Linked DNA regions of Lepisosteus oculatus. The protein of the gene in region 2 purifies or fractionates together with the protein of the main gene of each other region. This does not show direct contact. Links are inferred from orthologs where the notes say so. Each region holds a gene or a part of one and is shown on either strand. Other genes may lie near its edges.

Region 1 (9,335 bases), on a different chromosome or scaffold from region 2:
AAGAATGAGGGGAGGGGGACTGAGGGATGGTCTGGACAGAGACAGGACAGAAAGGAAGAGAGGAAGAGTGGAGGAATAGCTGGAGTGAGGAATGAGCTATACTGAGAGGGGCTGGAGGAACAGGAGCCCACAGAAGGCAGCAGTGCAGAGAGAGAGAGGGACAGGCTGGACGGAGAGAGAGAGGGAGAGGGACAGGCTGGACAGAGAGAGAGAGAGAGAGGGAGGGACAGGCTGGACAGAGAGAGAGAGAGAGGGAGGGACAGGCTGGACAGAGAGAGAGAGAGAGAGAGAGAGAGGGAGGGACAGGCTGGACAGAGAGAGGGAGAGACAGGCTGGACGGAGAGAGAGAGAGAGGGAGGGACAGGCTGGACGGAGGGAGAGAGAGGGAGAGGGACAGGCTGGACGGAGAGAGAGAGAGGGAGAGGGAGGGACAGGCTGGACAGAGAGAGAGGGAGAGGGAGGGACAGGCTGGACAGAGAGAGAGGGAGAGGGAGGGACAGGCTGGACGGAGAGAGAGGGAGGGACAGGCTGGACGGAGAGGGAGAGGGAGGGAGAGGGAGAGACAGGCTGGACGGAGAGAGAGAGAGAGGGAGAGACAGGCTGGACGGAGAGAGAGATAGAGGGAGACAGGCTGGACGGAGAGAGAGAGGGAGGGTATAGGGCTGCAGTGGCCGGAGTGAGGGATGTATTGAAATGGTACCTGCGCGCTGGGAGGGGGCTGGAGCGGGACTGAGCTGGATCACGATGACTGGACAGGGAGAGGAGAGAGAAGACACACACATTACTGTACACACTGCTGCACAACTGTATATACTGCCGCACACATTGCTGTGCACACTGCTGCACAACTGTACACATATTACTGTGCACACTGCTAAAACCAGCTGTACATAATGTCCACTCTGCTATAACCAGCTGGACACACTGTCCACTTCCACACACACTGTCCACTCTGCTATAACCAGCTGTTCACACTGTCCACTCCCACACACACTGTGCACACAGCTACAGTGCAGTCCCTAAGTATTTGGACAGTGACCCAATTTTGGTTGTTTTGGCTCTGTACTCCAGCACATTGGATTTGAAATGAAACAATGACTATGAGGTTAAAGTGCAGAATGTCAGCCTTAATTCAAGGGTGTTTACGTCTATATTGGGTGAACCATATAGGAATCACAGCCCTTTTTATACATAGTCCTCCCATTTCAAGGGATCAAAAGTAATTAGACAAGTGGCTGCTCAGTTTCTGTGTGTTGTTGCATCGTTAGTTCATGCACAAAAGGTCTCGAGTTGATTCTAGACGTGGCATTTGCATCCGGAGTCTGTTGCTGTGGTCTCTCAACATGAGGACCACAGAAGTGTCAATGCCAGTAAAAACAGGCCATCATGAGGCTGAAACGTCAGAATAAACCAATCAGAGACGTAGCCAAAACATTAGGTGTGTCAAAATCAACTGTCTGGTACATTGTTAGGAAGCAAGAACGCACTGGTGAGCTTAGCAACAGCAAACGACCTGGTAGACCACGGAAGACCACAGTAGTGGATGACAGAAAAATACTGTCAATCGTGAAGAAAAACCCCTTTTCGACTGCTGAACAGATCGAGAACACTCTCCAGGATCTACCACTGTGGAACATGGTGGAGGTAGTGTCTTGGCTTGGGCATGTATGGCTGCCAGTAGAACTGGCAGTCACATCACCAATAAAGACAAGTGAGCCAACAGCAGCAGCAGGATGAATTCTGAAGTGTACAGAAGCATCTTATCTGCTCAAATCCAACCAAATGGCACAAAACTCATTGGACGGCACTTCACCTTGCAGCAGGACAGCGACCCCAAACATACTGCCAAAGCAACTATGGGGCTTTTCAGGGTCAAGAAGTGGAACGTTGTTGACTGGCCAAGTCAATGACCCAACCTGAATCCCACTGAGCATGCATTTCACTTACTGAAGACAAGACTGAAGGCAAAAAGCCCCCGAAACAAGCAGGAACTGAAAATGGCTGCATTACAGGCCTGGCAGAGCATCACCAGGGAAGTTACCCAGCTTCTGGTGATGTCTACGGATGGCAGACTTCAGGCAATCATCAACTGCAAAGGACTTGCCACAAAGTACTAAACATGACCATTTTATTTAAGATTATGTTAATGTGTCAAATTACATTTAAACCCCTTGAAATGGGAGGACTATGTATAAAAAGGGCTGTGATTCCTATATGGTTCACCCAATATAGACGTAAATACCCTCGAATTAAAGCTGACATTCTGCACTTTAACCTCATAGTCATTGTTTCATTTCAAATCCAATGTGCTGGAGTACAGAGCCAAAACAACCAAAATTGTCCAAATACTTAGAGACTGCACTGCTATAACCAGCTGTACACACTGTCCACTCCCACCCTCACTGTCCACTGTGCTATAACCAGCTGTACTCACTGTCCACTCCCACCCTCACTGTCCACTGTGCTATAACCAGCTGTCCTCACTGCTATAACCAGCTGTACAAAGTCCACTTCTATACACACTGTCCAGTGCTTTAACCAGCCGTACACTATCCAATTCTGTACACGCTGTCCACTCTGCTATAACCAGCCATACCAACTGTCCACTCTGCTATAACCAGTTATACACACTGTCCACTCTGCTATAACCAGCCGTATACACTGTCCACTTCCACACACTGTCCAGTCTGCTATAACCAGCCGTATACACTGTCCACTTCCACACACTGTCCACTCTGCTATAACCAGCCGTATACACTGTCCACTTCCACACACTGTCCACTCTGCTATAACCAGCTGTATACACTGTCCACTTCCACACACTGTCCACTCTGCTATAACCAGTCGTATACACTGTCCACTTCCACACACTGTCCACTCTGCTATAACCAGCCGTACACTGTCCACTTCCACACACTGTCCAGTCTGCTATAACCAGCTGTATACACTGTCCACTTCCACACACTGTCCAGTCTGCTATAACCAGCTATACACACTGTCCAGCCGTATACACTGTCCACTTCCACACACTGTCCAGTCTGCTATAACCAGCCGTATACACTGTCCACTTCCACACACTGTCCAGTCTGCTATAACCAGCCGTATACACTGTCCACTTCCACACACTGTCCACTCTGCTATAACCAGCTGTGCATAATGTACACTGCTACACACAGTTATAATGAAATATACACACTGTATATCCACAGACAGCTATGCACACTGCAAACCACAGCATACAAAGTTGTAATCGCCGTGTGCACCGCTTTGCATCACTTGCACACAAACAGCTACTCTCGCAGTGACCCCACGAGTAAATGCTGTTTCTACAATCAACAAACCCAGCAGGCGGGATAGAAGAAACAACTCCTTCGGTGTGTTCATCTATAATTATGGTGTCAGTGTTTTAGCTCCAGTGTCTACTGTCCTACTGTGTGTTTCTCACTGAAGGATTCTGTTACTTCCTTGGTCTCCTGTCCTATTGCACATGTAGAACTGAGGGATCCTGTCCTGTCTCCTGTCTCTCCCTGTCCTGCTCTGTGCATATCAGTAAACTATGCCACTGTCAGACAGACAACCACGTTTAACGTGCCGAATGACTACTTTCTATTTCAGATGACCGACAAACGCAAGCCAATCCAAACACACGGGTTTACAATCCCGGCACTCTTCTGCGGAGTGAAGACAGCTCCTCCACCTACAGACCTTCTCAAACACGCCTGCGAGACAGGAGCTGACACCCGTACGGATGTTTTCACACGTCTTGCTGAGCTTTGTGCTCAAGTCCAAGACAGAAGCTGCAACGTAACTTAACCCGTCACAAGGTCGCGCCACGGCGGTCCCGTCACGGCTGCGGTGTTTACAGGAGGCGACAGGGCCGCCCTGCCGCTTCCTTGGTCACATTTTAAACCACTAAGCACGAAAATGAAATGAAACTGAAAAACAAAAAACAAGAAACCGGACAGCGGCGCCGGAAAGCGACGGGACTGGACGACCAGGCAGAGCCGCGGCCTGCAGGTCCGAGTCCAGACCCGCAAACCGGAGAGGAACTTCACTCGTGTCCGCTTCAGGTCCCGAATACCGGACCCGTCCGGCACCCGGGGTCCGGCGGGCGCTGCGGTTTGTGTAGAAATGTCTACAGATTTTCGATCTCCCCTCCTCCTCGTTCCCCTCCCTCTCCCCGTCCCTGTCCCAAATTCCTGCCGACCCCCACCACCGCTCCCGGCTCTACCGGCTCCAAGACTCACTGGGTCGGGGTCGGGCACGCTGCGGGCTCATATCGATGTTGAGGTCGATGCGCCTTCGCGCTTCTTTATTCTCCTGTTTTAGTTTCTCCTCGATTCGGGAGAGTCTCTGCTCCAACGACGACATTTTGGAAAAACTGAGAGGTACCACCGAGTGCGCACAATCTCTCCACAGACTCTCCCTAAGTGGCATGCTGGGATAGTGGATGACTACACTACCAACTATCCGGTGCCATAGATATCCAGACAGTGTAGCATTTACGAACCGACAGAGACAACCCTCATAATAATGATGACAATAAATACAATGATACTGACATTATGAGAGGAATGCACTCTACCATTGTGGAGACAAACACTGTATTTGGACTTTTTGTAATTGTTTAAAATAAGAGTAATATGCCGTGTTAGAGCGCCTCACGTGGTCCTGGAGGACTGACAAATCAACATATTTTGTAGAATTTTATTTTCAGAGTATAATCATAGAACACATTGTATCTCTAATCATTATCATTAGTGCTGTTGTATCATGGGTGAATTTTTTTCAGAATTATGGGGAAAGATGTCACTCCACAGAGGCTGTGGACAGTATGTGTGAGAGGAGAGATACAGACAGGAGACTGTGGACAGTATGTGTGAGAGGAGAGAGAATACAGACTAGAGACTGTGGAACCAGCCTTCTGTGAATACTGCACAAATCCTGCATGAACCCTTTATGAATTGTGTAAGTCCCATGTGAATCCCCTGTGAACCCTGAGTAATCCTGCCTGAATCTCCTGTGAACCCTGAGTAAATCCTGTGTGAACCCTCTGTAAATACTGTGAACCCTCTGTAATTCCCGTGTAACTACATGAACCCTGTGTAAATACTGTGAACCCTCTGTAATTCCCGTGTAAATACTACATGAACCCTGTGTAAATACTGTGAACCCCGTGTAATTTCTGTGTAAATACAACATGAACCCTCTCTGAACCCTGCATATATCTAGCTTGAAACCTGGTAAATCCTGCAATCCCCTTGTGTATCTTGTGTAAATGCTTTGTAAAGCCTGTGTGAATCCTGCGTAAATCCTGTATGTGCTCTTTGTGAACCCTGCATAAATTCTTTGCACCTTACGTAACTCCGGCCTGAATCCTCTGTGAACCCTGCATGAATCCAGCCTGAATCCTCTGTGAACCCTGCATGAATCCAGCCTGAATCCTCTGTGAACCCCTCCATAAATCCGGCCTGAATCCTCTGTGAACCCTGCATGAATCCGGCCTGAATCCCCTGTGAACCCTGCATGAATCCGGCCTGAATCCTCTGTGAAACCTGAGTAAATCCTGCAGGAACCTTCTGTAAAAACTCCACATGAACTGCACAGCTGGCCAAGGTTAAATGAAACCAGTCCAGGAAACAGGAGACTTCCTATTGGAAGGGTTTCAATAAGATCCCATTATTGGGGGACAATTTGGTACAATGCTGATTTTGGGGTGACATGGATCTTTGGGTCACCTGAGAGAGATTCCTGAGACTGCTTGCTGTATGTTTTCCCAGTGACACTAAACACACTTGTGTTAGAAAAGCCCTTTATAAAAAAGATACATTAAACAGGAAAATTAAGAGTAAAAATAAAAATTTAATCATTCAGTCCTTCACTACTTCCACAATGTTTTTTTTCTGCATAATGTACTCGGTATAATTTACACAACTTTGTTAATATCATCATTAATATTATTTTAAATCCTGAAACTAAAATTTCACTTACTGTAAAATAATAACAGAACTTTTCAAACCTTCACAAGCTCCACAAGAACCAGGTCTGGAGTGACCACTCCTTCTCCACATGATCCGGACCTTCAGAATCGGGTCTGGAGTGACCACTTCTACTCCACATGAACCGGACCCTCAGAATCGGGTCTGGAGTGACCACTCCTTCTCCATATGATCCGGACCTTCAGAATCGGGTCTGGAGTGACCACTCCTTCTCCATATGATCCGGACCTTCAGAATCGGGTCTGGAGTGACCACTCCTTCTCCACATGAACCGGACCTTCAGAATCGGGTCTGGAGTGACCACTCCTTCTCCATATGATCCGGACCTTCAGAATCGGGTCTGGAGTGACCACTCCTTCTCCACGCGAACCGGACCTTCAAAATCGGGTCTGGAGTGACCACTTCTACTCCACGCGAACCGGACCTTCAAAATCGGGTCTGGAGTGACCACTTCTACTCCACGCGAACCGGACCTTCAGAATCGGGTCTGGAGTGACCACTCCTTCTCCACATGAACCGGACCTTCAGAATCGGGTCTGGAGTGACCACTCCTTCTCCACATGATCCGGACCTTCAGAATCGGGTCTGGAGTGACCACTCCTTCTCCACATGATCCGGACCTTCAGAATCGGGTCTGGAGTGACCACTTCTACTCCACATGATCCGGACCTTCAGAATCGGGTCTGGAGTGACCACTTCTACTCCACATGAACCGGACCTTCAGAATCGGGTCTGGAGTGACCACTCCTTCTCCACATGAACCGGACCTTCAGAATCGGGTCTGGAGTGACCACTCCTTCTCCACATGAACCGGACCTTCAGAATCGGGTCTGGAGTGACCACTCCCGATCCCGGCTGGTTGTGTCTCCTTCATGTCCTGCTCATCCGCTCTGCTCGATCCCCCCCCTGTTCACACACACACACGTACTAAAAGCATTTTAAAAATATAATTGGAGCGACTCGTTCCTCCAGCGCTGCAGGCTTCAGTCTGCAAACCTCTCGCTCTACTCATGCCAGCCCCGCAAGACAGCTCTCGAAACGTTAAGGCTTCGGTCGGTGCTACAGCCCCACCCCTCACCACCTCTATCACAGTATAACCGGAAGTCTCTTGCTCCTCCTCCTCTCTCTCGGTGTTTAGGCGGAAAAGGCACACTGCCTGCCCACCACCCTACCACACCTTGTGCTGCTCAGTCCCCTCCTCCCTCCTTCACTGAGGACCCATGCCACACGAGCTGCCGCACCGGGGCTGGGTCTCTGCTCGAACCCCGTCACCTCTCCCTCTCCCCTTCTCTGCAGCTCGGCCTGCGCGCGGGAATATGTCATTCCCGAGAGTCCGCTGACCTAATCCACATCCTCTTGTCCGGAGAGGGAGAGGGACGAAGGCAGCGCGCAGGGAAGCAGAGGAGGGAGCGCTCTGGGAACAGTCCAGGGTCCAGGTGTCCAGGGGCAGACACACTGCCCAAAGTCTCCCTCGGTCGCAGCGCCGAGACGGACAGGCAGGCAGACAGCGCCCCCTCTGTCCAGGCGCAGCAGGGCTAGCAGAGGTCGGAGACGTAGTCAAAGTCCTTGAAGCTCTCCTGCTCCTTGCGGGAGAGCGGGCGGGGCTCTCGGGGTGGGGTCAGGGTGGGCGCCTCTGTCGTGAACTCCTCGTCGAAGTTGCTGACGTCCTCCTTCCCCACGATGGAAGGCACGAAGGGCGGCTTCACCTGCCGCTGGAGCAGCGCCTCCCAGTCCACCCCCTGGGAGAGAGAGACAGGTTAGACACAGCACCTCCCAGTCCACCCCCTGGGAGAGAGAGACAGGTTAGACACAGCACCTCCCAGTCCATCCTCGGAGAGAGAGAGACAGGTTAGACACAGCACCTCCCAGTCCATCCTCTGAGAGAGAGAGACAGGTTAGACACAGCACCTCCCAGTCCACCCCCTGAGAGAGAGAGACAGGTTACTCAGCACCTCCCAGTCCACCCCCTGAGAGAGGAGACAGGTTACTCAGAATCTCCCAGTCCACCCCCTGAAAGAGCGAGAGACTGGTTAGACACAGCACCTCCCAATCTACCCCCTGGGAGATGGATGGAGCCAGGACGAGATAAGGAATAAAGATCAGAGAGGGAAGAGAGCAGAGAGATCCAGACAGTGGACACACAAACCCGGAGATAGAGAGAGGTTAGACACCAGAGGGCAGAATGAGGGAGAGCTTACAGACAGCGAACAAGGATGATGAGAGAGAGCTAGACAGTGAGACGCTTACCCTGAAGAAGGGCTGCTTCTTCACATCATCGGCATCCCTCTCAGTGGAGCCCAGTCTGCGCTCTGGGTTCCTCCGCAGGAGCTGCACACAGACAGTGCCCACAGTGCATCAGTGGGACGACACAATAATCATGAGTGGACCACGGCCAACCCCCACAGGCCAAGAGGAGGTCCAGCTGTGTGGCTCAAGCCCATAACAGAAACAGCTGGATAAGATCCCGGGACAAATCCCTGGCAAGCAAACTCAGTGTGCTGAACAGCGTCTTCTCATCTCTGACCTTTTGTTAAGTTCTTCTAATGGGTTCTCATTTAATAAGAGACACGACAGCAGGAGCTGGTGTGTGATTTGCCTTTTCTAGGTGGCTGACGGCACAAGGCCGGCCTGTGATTGGCCGAGGGGAGAACCTCACCCGTCTCATGATGCCAATGGCCTCGGTGGAGAGGAATCGTGGGTAACGGACTTCATCATTAACGATGCTGTCGAACACCTCCTCCTCATCGTCACCTGGGAAAGGAGACTGAAACACAGGCAGCGTGTCGGTACGGTTGTAATTCCACAGGCTCCGACAGTTCCACGCAGTACGTTAATAACGCGGAAAACGACAAAAAGAGAGAGGAGCACAGGGACTCGAATGCCGTGACGACAGAAACAAACGGCCCCTCACCTCGCCCACCAGCATCTCGTACACCAGCACCCCCAGCCCCCACCAGTCCACCGCCCGCGTGTACGACGTGTCAGTCAGCACTTCGGGGGCCAGGAACTCCGGGGTCCCGCAGAACGTACTGGTCCGGTCGCCGTAGCCCATCCCTGACGCAGAGAGGGGACAGCAGTGAGGGACAAGCCAGCTGACGGGACACACTGGCCGTCGGACCGAGCGACACGGCCAGGCGCGCACACACCTTCTTTACACAGGCCGAAGTCCGCAATCTTCACATAGCCCTCCGTGTCCAAGAGCAAGTTGTCCAACTTCAGGTCCCTGAGGAGGAGAGGAAGACACCGTGAGGGACAGCGGTGACAGAGGGAGAGGAGGAGGAGAGGAAGGCTGACAGCAGTCTGGTGACATGAATGAGAAACAGGGAGGGAATCTTG
Region 2 (9,659 bases):
ATTCAATTTTGTTTTTCTCATGAAAAACAACATCTTTGCTTCAGAACACAAATACTGCCTTGGACATTAAATCAGCTCTAAATTAGGAAAACTAAATGTGAAATAAGGTTGTACATCATGGGCAATTTCCCTTAATTACAAACTCAAAACACCAAATCCGGAGTGCTGTTTACTGTGCATTTGTAATCAAAGGACTTGAAATTAGGGAAACTGAGGTCAGGATACTTGATCAAGATGTAATATGAGTTTTATGTCACAATATTACATGCATGAATAAGTCAGTAAAAAATCAATAAACACTGGGAATTATCATCATAGATTTTTGTATGATATACTGTACTGTATGATTTGCCAAAGACAAAACTGTAGTATATTTAACATAATTCTGATATTTATTTAGCTCATATTATAGCTTATATTCATAACTCTTATATTGAATAACAGGACTAGCTTTTAGCAAAGTATAGTATTCCATGGATATCAGGATAACATTATAGTATTTATAATTTATAACTGTTAACATTCAATTGTTATTTAATTAGAGGTAATTTGGATAATGCTGTGGCAATCACAACTATACTATGTGAGCTCTACTAAACATCTCCATTTGTATTTATATTGACTTATTTCTGCATCACTTTTATTATAATCACTAAAAATGACTGGCTGCCTGATAACAGAGAGATAGGTATGAGCATGCAGTATGTATGCACTGACCATTCAGATGACACTTGATTTGTTTCCCAAATTTCACAATCTTTCCCCTCTTCTACTTTCTCCTTCGTTATTATTAATTTATTTGGCTGATGGTTTGATCCAAATTGAACTGCATTTGCACATATTTATACAGCTGGGTATGGTGCAACTGGAGCAATTTGGTTGAAGTACTACCTTGCTCAAGAGTGCAACAGCAGAGCCTCAGCTGGGATTGGAACCCACAACCTTCCAGTTACAAGTCTAGAACCTAACCTCCTGTTGCCCCTGATGAAATTAAATCATTTTCAATAGCATGAAAACCAAAGGAAAGGTCCTGCTAAAAATGATTTGTTTATCTAATTCCAACATTACTGACATTTTAGATTACATTTCTGAAAAGAACTAAAAGATGCATGAAGAGCATACTGAATCAACTAAGCAGGTACTTTCAGTATGCAGGCAGTCAGATTTAATTTGCTGCAAATTACAGAATTCTATTATTATCATTATTCAGTCATTAATGCATTCATTTGTTGATGGAAGGCAATCTGTACACCGGAAAAGTCACATAAGGGCCATTGAGCCTTCAGCAGAAGATAGCATTAAAAATATCACACTAGTTTTTTAAACGACTGCAATAACATGTTGTGAAACTAACCCTTGCAAATGACTGTAAATAAAAAATAAGTCAACAGATGTCTTTCTGTTGGGAACCAGCCAACATGTGAAGTGCTGGGGATTTTTAAAGGTTATCCCAGAAATACAGGAAAGCTAAACGTAACAAAAAAAGGGATTTACAGATTATTATTTTATGGAATTTACTGAATAATGTAGGCAATGACAGTCCCTGTAGTGCATCCTGACTTAGTTCTGTGACAGATTACGTCTCTTGAAAGTTAAACACATACTGTACATAAATAAAGCAAGTGTGGACATTCCTTTACAGTGTGTTAATATTTTTGACAGGTTGAAAACTCAGTACATAAATACTGAGTTTTCAGTATTGTGCACAGTATAACAATACATTTGTCATGTACTTTAGTCACCGTAATAATCACAACAGTCTGTGCAATGATTGTTTACTTGTTAATGTCAGCATCTTATTCTTGGTATGCAATTGCAATGGGACAGCATCCCACACTGCAAGAAAATATTGGCTGGTGCACATTTTTATCCACTTCAATCAGATGCAAAGATACTTGTCAGGAGCAGTTTCTGACGTTCAGCACAAATACTTTCCTAATTTGTTGAGTTTTGAAACCCCACTAGATATGAATATGTCACTGTAACATATTTTTGTACAGCAAGATCTCATCATTTTTTCTCTGTATACTCTGTGGCAGCAGCAGCCGAACCACTGCACATACCCCACACACTGTGCATGACAGATCTCATCACTGCATTTTCTTGTTTCCCCTTTAAAAGAGATGTACACATCCTGCACCCTGATAAAAATGGTGAAACATGTTACCCTTAGAGACCATAAAGGCTTCTGATCTATAACGTTTATGCTGATGGAAAAGTGAAATGTTTGCTGTGATTTTTTAACCACAATGCTATGAAACAGAAACATGTTTCCAAGGTTGTTTTCTTTCTGCAGATAACAGATTCAATCAAAGCATCCTTAAGTTCTTGAAGCAAAATTATGCACAAGTGCAAAGGCTGTAGTAATGTACTGGATTTAGGAGGTTTGAATGCCATAAAATGGACAACAGATTCAAAGTTCTAATAGCGACCTCTCTCCGAGCTTAAGTATTTAGCAGAATAATGCATGTTCGGATTTACTCTTATTTGCTTAATATCTTGAATAAATACAATGCATATTTCTCGATTATAAGGTCAGGTAATTATAAAGTTACTACCAAACTAGTAACAAACCATTCACGCTCTGTATCGACTTTTCACACACAAGCACTATGACTGTTGCTGTCAACCAGTTGCACACATACCTGAAAAGCTGTGTGATGCCTCTATTTAGATAAATAGGTACAGTAGATACGTAATATATTTATAGTATGTTAAATCTATATTTTACATTTCTAGTGAAGAGTAAATAATGGTGATATTTAGATTTCACGAGTAGTCTTTTCGCCTAATATTCTCATCAATTCCAAATGATCAATGAGTTCATTCGTGTTCGAGATTTGATGCAAAATAATAAGCCCAAACCAAAAACAGTAACAAAATAACGTGCAGCGCTTTCCAACTTCTAACAGCAACAAACAGAGCTTTGATATCTGTTTTGTTTCCTCCGCGCAGTGTCGTCAAGATCACGGGAGTTTTCAATCTGTTCACCTGAATAAAAATGGACTACGCCCTTTAATTTACATGAGAAAGACTCGTGTTTGTAAACAGCAACTATTTGTGTGCGTCCGCCAGCCTTGCCCCGGTTCTCTGTATCGATTCAATTTACATAACGGGATGCACGGAAAAAAACAATGCACTTTCCGTCTCGGAAGCAACCACTACTACAGTATATTCATGAGCATCCCCTTTCTGCAGTAACAATCTATCTGCTATAGCCTGTCACTGTTTTCAATCCGTCACCAGCTTCGTTATCCGAAAAGCCCTTAGGCTCGATAGGGGTTTGCGGTACCCTTTGATTATCCTGAGCTCTATTACCTGAAATTAGGCGAGGAGGTGATGTGCAAACCCAAGAAAGGGGATCCAGTTGGAGACGGGTTTCTTTTTTCTCTATCCGCCATTCTCTGCCCTATTATTATATATCCATTCGTTCGCTCCTGGAGAAAGTAGTAGCCCAGTAGCAGGGATGCTGCGATGGAAATCCAGTTAAGGAGGAGAGGCGAGAGAAACAACACACACACACAGAGAGAGAGAGATTGGGAGGCGAGGCGCCAGCTTCTCATTCCAGGTCCCCAGAAACAGGCGGAGCGGACCTGTGTACGTTGATATTAACCGGAAAAACAAGGAGAATCGTCTTTGTCGTCATCGTCTCAGAAAACAAATCAACTTAAAATGCAAAATCCGTCGTTAATTCAATGGAGTGCACAGCAGGGCAAGTTAAACTTCTGAAAAATATTAAATAATACTTTAGTTACTTGAAATGGTGTCAGAATTGGATGTTGTCAACCAAAAAGTGGTTACAGTATATACATTTTTTCTTGTTGCAATGAATATTGCTATTGTAGCAGCCAAGTCAAAAAAAAAATACAATGCCGAGGTCATTCGGAACAGTTACCACGTGTTTAAGTGGTTCAATGTAAGTGCCTTTAAGGACTCTGAATACACTAGGTCTCTTTGAAGCCTTTTCTGTTCAAACCTAGTTAAGGTTTAGGGGTATCTGCATGCAACACCCTCAATTTAACATCATATGTCAGGTGTTTTCCTAGTCTGCAATTTTTATCTAAAGCTTTTTGAATTTTATTTGCGACTCCTATTTTGGTATAACCTGCAAACGTGACTAGTTTATTAAATACCCAGAATCAGAGCAGTGGTTCTAGTATAGATCCCTGTGGTACTCTATTAATTAGTGTGCCCAAATCTTAGCATTTGCCTCTTATCTGTATCCTGTTTTTTATTATTGTCAATCCAAATATGCACATTTTCCACATATGTATATCCTATATCCTGAATGTGATAAGAAATAATATTAAGAACGTTGTCCTTCCACCACCTGGCATTCTATTGACTTCTTCCTTGGTGATCACCTGAGTGAAATACTGTTCATAAAACACGTTACAAATGAGGGGAGTTCACTTGACCCATCCAGCCCACTTGGCAACAGCACTTAGTAATAGTGCATCAGCCATCTTTTAAGGCTCTTCTGCTGTTTCAATGCTAGAACAACTTTCTAGTTTTATTTTACTTAAGCCTCTACTGGAATATCCCAAATATCCTGTTTTACTTTTCATTAATTGGACCCTGTTGTTATTTTAATCATTTCATAAACTTCTTTCTTATCCTTTATCCTATACAGAGTTTGTAGTGTATTACCTATTAATGGTTTCTATCTCTTAATATTCATGCTGTCTCACTCCACTAATAAGTGAGCTCAAGTCAACTGGGTGCAGTTACTGCAGATTAATTTGATATTTCATTTCAAGTTACCCACATTGATTGGCCTATTTACCCCTGCACTGTGCTTTGTAACCAGGGAAACAGCCCATTCATATCTCCGAGCTTGTCCATAACGCCCCTCCTGGTGTGACTGGTGAGTTGTGATCCCTGAATCTATTCATAACATGATTGCAGCAGGCCTGAATGAATGCACCAATGCACTAATACACCCTTTATGTTGTATTTCATGGTTTACAAATCAATTATCATGTGATACTGTATGAGTAATGACTGTTCAATAAATTGAATTATATATCAGAAAGATCATTTTCTTTAAAGAACAAGGTACATTAAACAAATGCTGTGGTATACTGTACAATAGTACCTGCTGGGCTTTAGAAACACACAACAGCCTGAAACACAAGAAAGATACGTCAGTCTGGTCCGACAAAAGTCATTCCGCTGACATGCCAGATATCAGCAGATATAGCATGTGTTTTAATAACCTTTCCTTTTAAGCGAAAAAGGAAAAGAGTGAATGCAAACCAGCTCAGCATGTAAAATGTATTTTCATTAAAACAAGCATTTTCACTAAGCAATAGCTTAGGTGAAAGGTACATTTGAAAAAAAAAGTATTTGTTCTCCTACAGGTATTAAGCAAATTCAAGACAAGATTTGTTCCGCCAACCTACAAAATTCTTTAAAAAAGTCATCATCATCCAGGTGGTCCAACAACAACCAGGTGCAGAAAAAGAATGACAACATTTCTTTGCACAGCAAAACGGAGGCCATCATTTTAATAATTTGTTTGATGTGAAATGTACTGAACATAAGTCATTCTAAACTTATAAATTGCGGGAAATAACCTGTATCTCAGAAGAGTTTCACATGAGATGAATGTACAGATGCTATAAAAGCTGCTGATCTGATGTTTTCTCAGCACTGAATACAGTATATACCTATGGAATGCCTTATTTTTAGAATCTGTTTTCTCCACTGACAGAAGTGTGGTGGCATGGCCGTTACAGTAGGACTGCTGCATGACAGCACTCTCAACTAGAGAAGCACTTGGTTCCAATGTTCAGTTCTTGCCTGAGGCTCTTTCGATGTGGAGTTTTGTTTTAGAATCCAATGAAGAGAAAGTGGGTCCCATCCTATATGTATTGTACATTGGGATCACTGGCATAATAACTGCTACAGTATATACAGCAACAGCAAGGAATTATTTTATGGATTCCTTCTAACAGTTTAAGCCATGTCCTTCCCAAATACTACATTTTTGCTGAGGCACTTTAGATAATTACAGCCAATTGAATTTTAGATGATGAATAATCCAGGTAGCTTTCAATTTGCAGGATAACTGTAGTCAACATGAAAGGACGGACATTTTTGCATAAATTTAAGCAGCGTTAATGAGATATAGAGGAATTAGTAACCTAATTTCAGGATAAATTCTAATGGAATTTTTAAAATATTAATTTAAAATGCCCAGATGAATTTGTCCTTATTTCTCCCGCAGACCTGCAAGTTGGGAAACTCATGCAATCTGTTTTAATGTCAGCCTTTCCCTAAAAAACATATTTTTGGAAAATAACAGAAGAAAAGAGCTGTATGGTGTATGCTGCAAAGTGCCCAGTTTTATATTTACTCTGCTTATCACATAAAATTAGAGACAGCATTTTTTCTATTGAATGCTATTTATGATAACAATCTAAACAATCAAGTCAGGCTAAAAATCGGTTATAAAGGGTATCAATATTTTTTGATACTTCATTGCAAAGCTGATTTTCACAGATCTCACTGCTGTTTTCAGTTGCTGACAGAAGACAATTGTAGAATATTGCTGTATTTATTCATGCTTCTAAGTGAGAAGATGATACTAATGCATAGTAACAGATGTCAATGGACTTATCCTGTTCTTGTCCAGACTGTTTACACTGTTGCTCATCAAAGGCATGGCAAGGTACAGAACGATATTGGACTGATAGTGATTCAATTCAAGGCAGAACAATTTATAAAGAATAGAGTCACAAGGGAGTCATATACCTAAAGGTTTTAGGTCTGTTCAAGTCCAGTGGTAGCAGTGGATACCCCCATGTTGTTGTTTTTTACAAAACTTCTAATACACCATAAGAGCACATCAATAACATCTAGGATGCAATTTAATCTTCCCCATGATTTTCACAGATACCACTCCTCTCAGTCCCTTTGTGGATTATTAATTGGCTTGACTTTCGGCACCTTGCAGAAGGAAGGGTAATTTCCCCGAGCCCTCTTCTAAATGTTTTAGAATCGGTGCATAATGCAGTAAAGTGCTCTCTTTTCAAGTGAGCGGAGCAGCTCCTGAGGCCATGTACGGAACAGCGGCTCACCGGTGCTTACACACAGATCCTCCCATAAACGTTTCAGCTGCTTTAGTCCACCAGAGCAACATTCTGCGTGAACAGCAGATCCCGGAGCAATTAATTGGAGCCATGGACACCTTATTAAAATACACAGTACAAGAGAAAATAACACCTGAAGAAGGCTCTACAGCTGAAACGATTCTTTTCTTCTCTTTTCAACATGGAATAAGCCTGCACTTGTTCCTTTGCAGCCTATGCCTGCTGATGCAGCTCCCTACTTGAGCTACAAGAGAAAATAAGTTGACTTTCCAATAACTGAAACAAAAACCTGAGTTTTGTAAACTGTCCAAGGGAATTATATGGATAAAGAAAATTGCTGGGGGTAATTGGTTCTATAACGAATCAATAAGAAGCAGAGCAAAAACAAACCCTTCTGTAATACGCTACAATACCACTCCTACTGAAATAGTTCCATGTACTGTAGCTGCAGACAAAATCTAAAGTGCTAGGTGTCATTTCTTTTTCTCACACATGCCTTATTCAATTTTAAGAGCAAATGTGTACGTGATGCCTTTTTGTTTAGCTTGTGCAAATGAAACTGGAGATCATAATTGGCAGGACCTGGTCCAAGAAAGCTAATTTACTGTCTTTTCATAAGAAAGACTAAAATACTGCCATTTAGCCATTATAAGATAAGATAAAGACATCACACTCTGATATAATTGTTTTTAAAAATCATTTTTTGATTAAGCTGTTGCATAACTTTATTATGAAAAGGAGACCTCTAGTGAGAAACACTACACATTACAGGCAAAAAGGTATTGACTGTACATTTCTGTTGAAAGCCCTGTAGGAACTGCACCCATGGATCAATCACAATTTTGGAAACTAATCTAAGCTTTCCAATTCAAATCTGTAATCAAGCTTTGTTAAACACACCCCAAATAAAACTACACACAGTAAAACAGCAAAAGTTGCTTATGTAATGCAACTAGAACTCAACTACAGTATCTTACTATTATAAAATGACAATGCCCCATTTGACTTGCACAAACATGTTGTTTATCTAAACTTTTATTTTACTTTCTATTTAACCACATCATACAAGGAGCATGTAAGAAAACTGAGATATTGTATATCTTATCTCTTGTATTCTTTAATCATATTATATTTGTTAAAGAACATATTGTATATACATCAGTATACAGGAATACCGGGTCATAGAAGGCCAAACTGACAGACACTTGGCCTCATGAACAAAACACTGATCAAATACGATACAGTATGTACCTCACAAACTTTCCTCATCCACCTTATGCTAAGTCTGAGCTGTATAAGATACAGACAGGAATCAGTTGCTGATTACTCATAGAAGCTGCTTTTATTTTAGGAATAAAAGTATTTTACACTTTACAAACTCTCTTAAAACAAACAAAAATGAGATTTATGATACAAACATTTCACAATTTAGAAAACGAAGAATGAACAAACAAAATCTGAAAGCCACACATTAACATTTGACAAAAAGCTTTTTCTTTGCTATTTGTTGAAAACAAGCTAAAACAGGTGATCGGCAGAAAGCAATTTAACGCAAGAGATCTGAATTCATTATGATCATTATGGCTTAAGGTTAGTTGTAATTTAAACTCTACGGAGAAATAAAGCTTCAGTTTTTCAAAGTACCTGACAGGAAACCAAAGTTTGGAGAATAGCAGTTTCTTTTAAAAGGAACATTAATATGTGTTAAGACATACAAAACCAAACACTGGTTATTCTCTTCCCCATTGCAGACAAACCTCTGACCCACTGTCCCATCATGTCAAGTTCAACATTGCTTTCCCTAAAGCAGTGGTTCTCAAACTGTCACAGTCTTTTAAGGGGAAATTGGGAACAATTTCTCCCAACAGTGCCACATTCGCCTACAGAACAATTGATCGAAAATTAATACCTCAATTATACATTGGCCTCCGACACTAGCTCGGCTGCTGAACCTGACACAGACAGCACTGCTAGTGTTATCAGGCATCGGAAAATGGCTGCAAGCCGGTATGATCCAAATTATCTAAGTGCTCAGTGCAACTCGTATTATATGTGTGTGAGTATGTGTGTACGGGCTCATGTTAGTCATTGAGATTTTCTGTGGTTCCTATGAGAAGATGACTTGTAGTTGGTGCTTAGATGCTTTGGTTTGATCGGGGGTGGTACTTGGTCCAAAAAGTTTGAGAACCACTGCCCTAAAGTAATCAAGATCACAGATTCAGAGTAGGTCTATTCCAGAAGTCTTCTGGCATAATTAAAGGGTTTCTTAATACTTTTTTAGAGCCCCAGAACTCATCCATGTGCTACATTTTCAAAGCTGCCACATAAATCTACAAAACATCTGATGGAATAGCCTGAAATGATTCAAAAGTTAAATATATTTGAAAAACTATATATATATAGCTTGCAAAACATATCGAGAACTACTTATAAATATCGAGGGTTGTTCACCGATAAGGCACCCATGTACTGTATAAATTAAAGCATATTACTTTATACCATTGGAAATTCTATACATGATTGGCCTCAAGTGTTCTAATTAAAAGTAGTGCATCAGAGTTA

What was found.
Region 1: the proteins of mapk8ip1a (region 2) and map2k7 purify together in Homo sapiens (affinity purification with western blotting; 3 studies listed by BioGRID and IntAct, with this or other methods). This does not show direct contact. The link is inferred for Lepisosteus oculatus from reciprocal best matches to the Homo sapiens genes MAPK8IP1 and MAP2K7.

The regions. Positions count from the first base shown.
Region 1 is NC_090706.1:13,860,746-13,870,080, forward strand, and holds the start of map2k7 (dual specificity mitogen-activated protein kinase kinase 7), read right to left. Parts: upstream 4,465-9,335; 5' UTR 4,438-4,464; coding exon 4,248-4,437; intron 749-4,247; coding exon 701-748; intron 1-700. Other genes in the region: pkn1a (serine/threonine-protein kinase N1), read right to left, coding at 7,535-7,738, 8,247-8,327, 8,656-8,763, 8,911-9,053, 9,146-9,222. UniProt on the Homo sapiens protein: Dual specificity protein kinase which acts as an essential component of the MAP kinase signal transduction pathway. Essential component of the stress-activated protein kinase/c-Jun N-terminal kinase (SAP/JNK) signaling pathway.
Region 2 is NC_090716.1:6,358,669-6,368,327, reverse strand, and holds the start of mapk8ip1a (C-Jun-amino-terminal kinase-interacting protein 1a), read right to left. Parts: upstream 3,603-9,659; 5' UTR 3,564-3,602; coding exon 3,319-3,563; intron 1-3,318. UniProt on the Homo sapiens protein: The JNK-interacting protein (JIP) group of scaffold proteins selectively mediates JNK signaling by aggregating specific components of the MAPK cascade to form a functional JNK signaling module. Required for JNK activation in response to excitotoxic stress.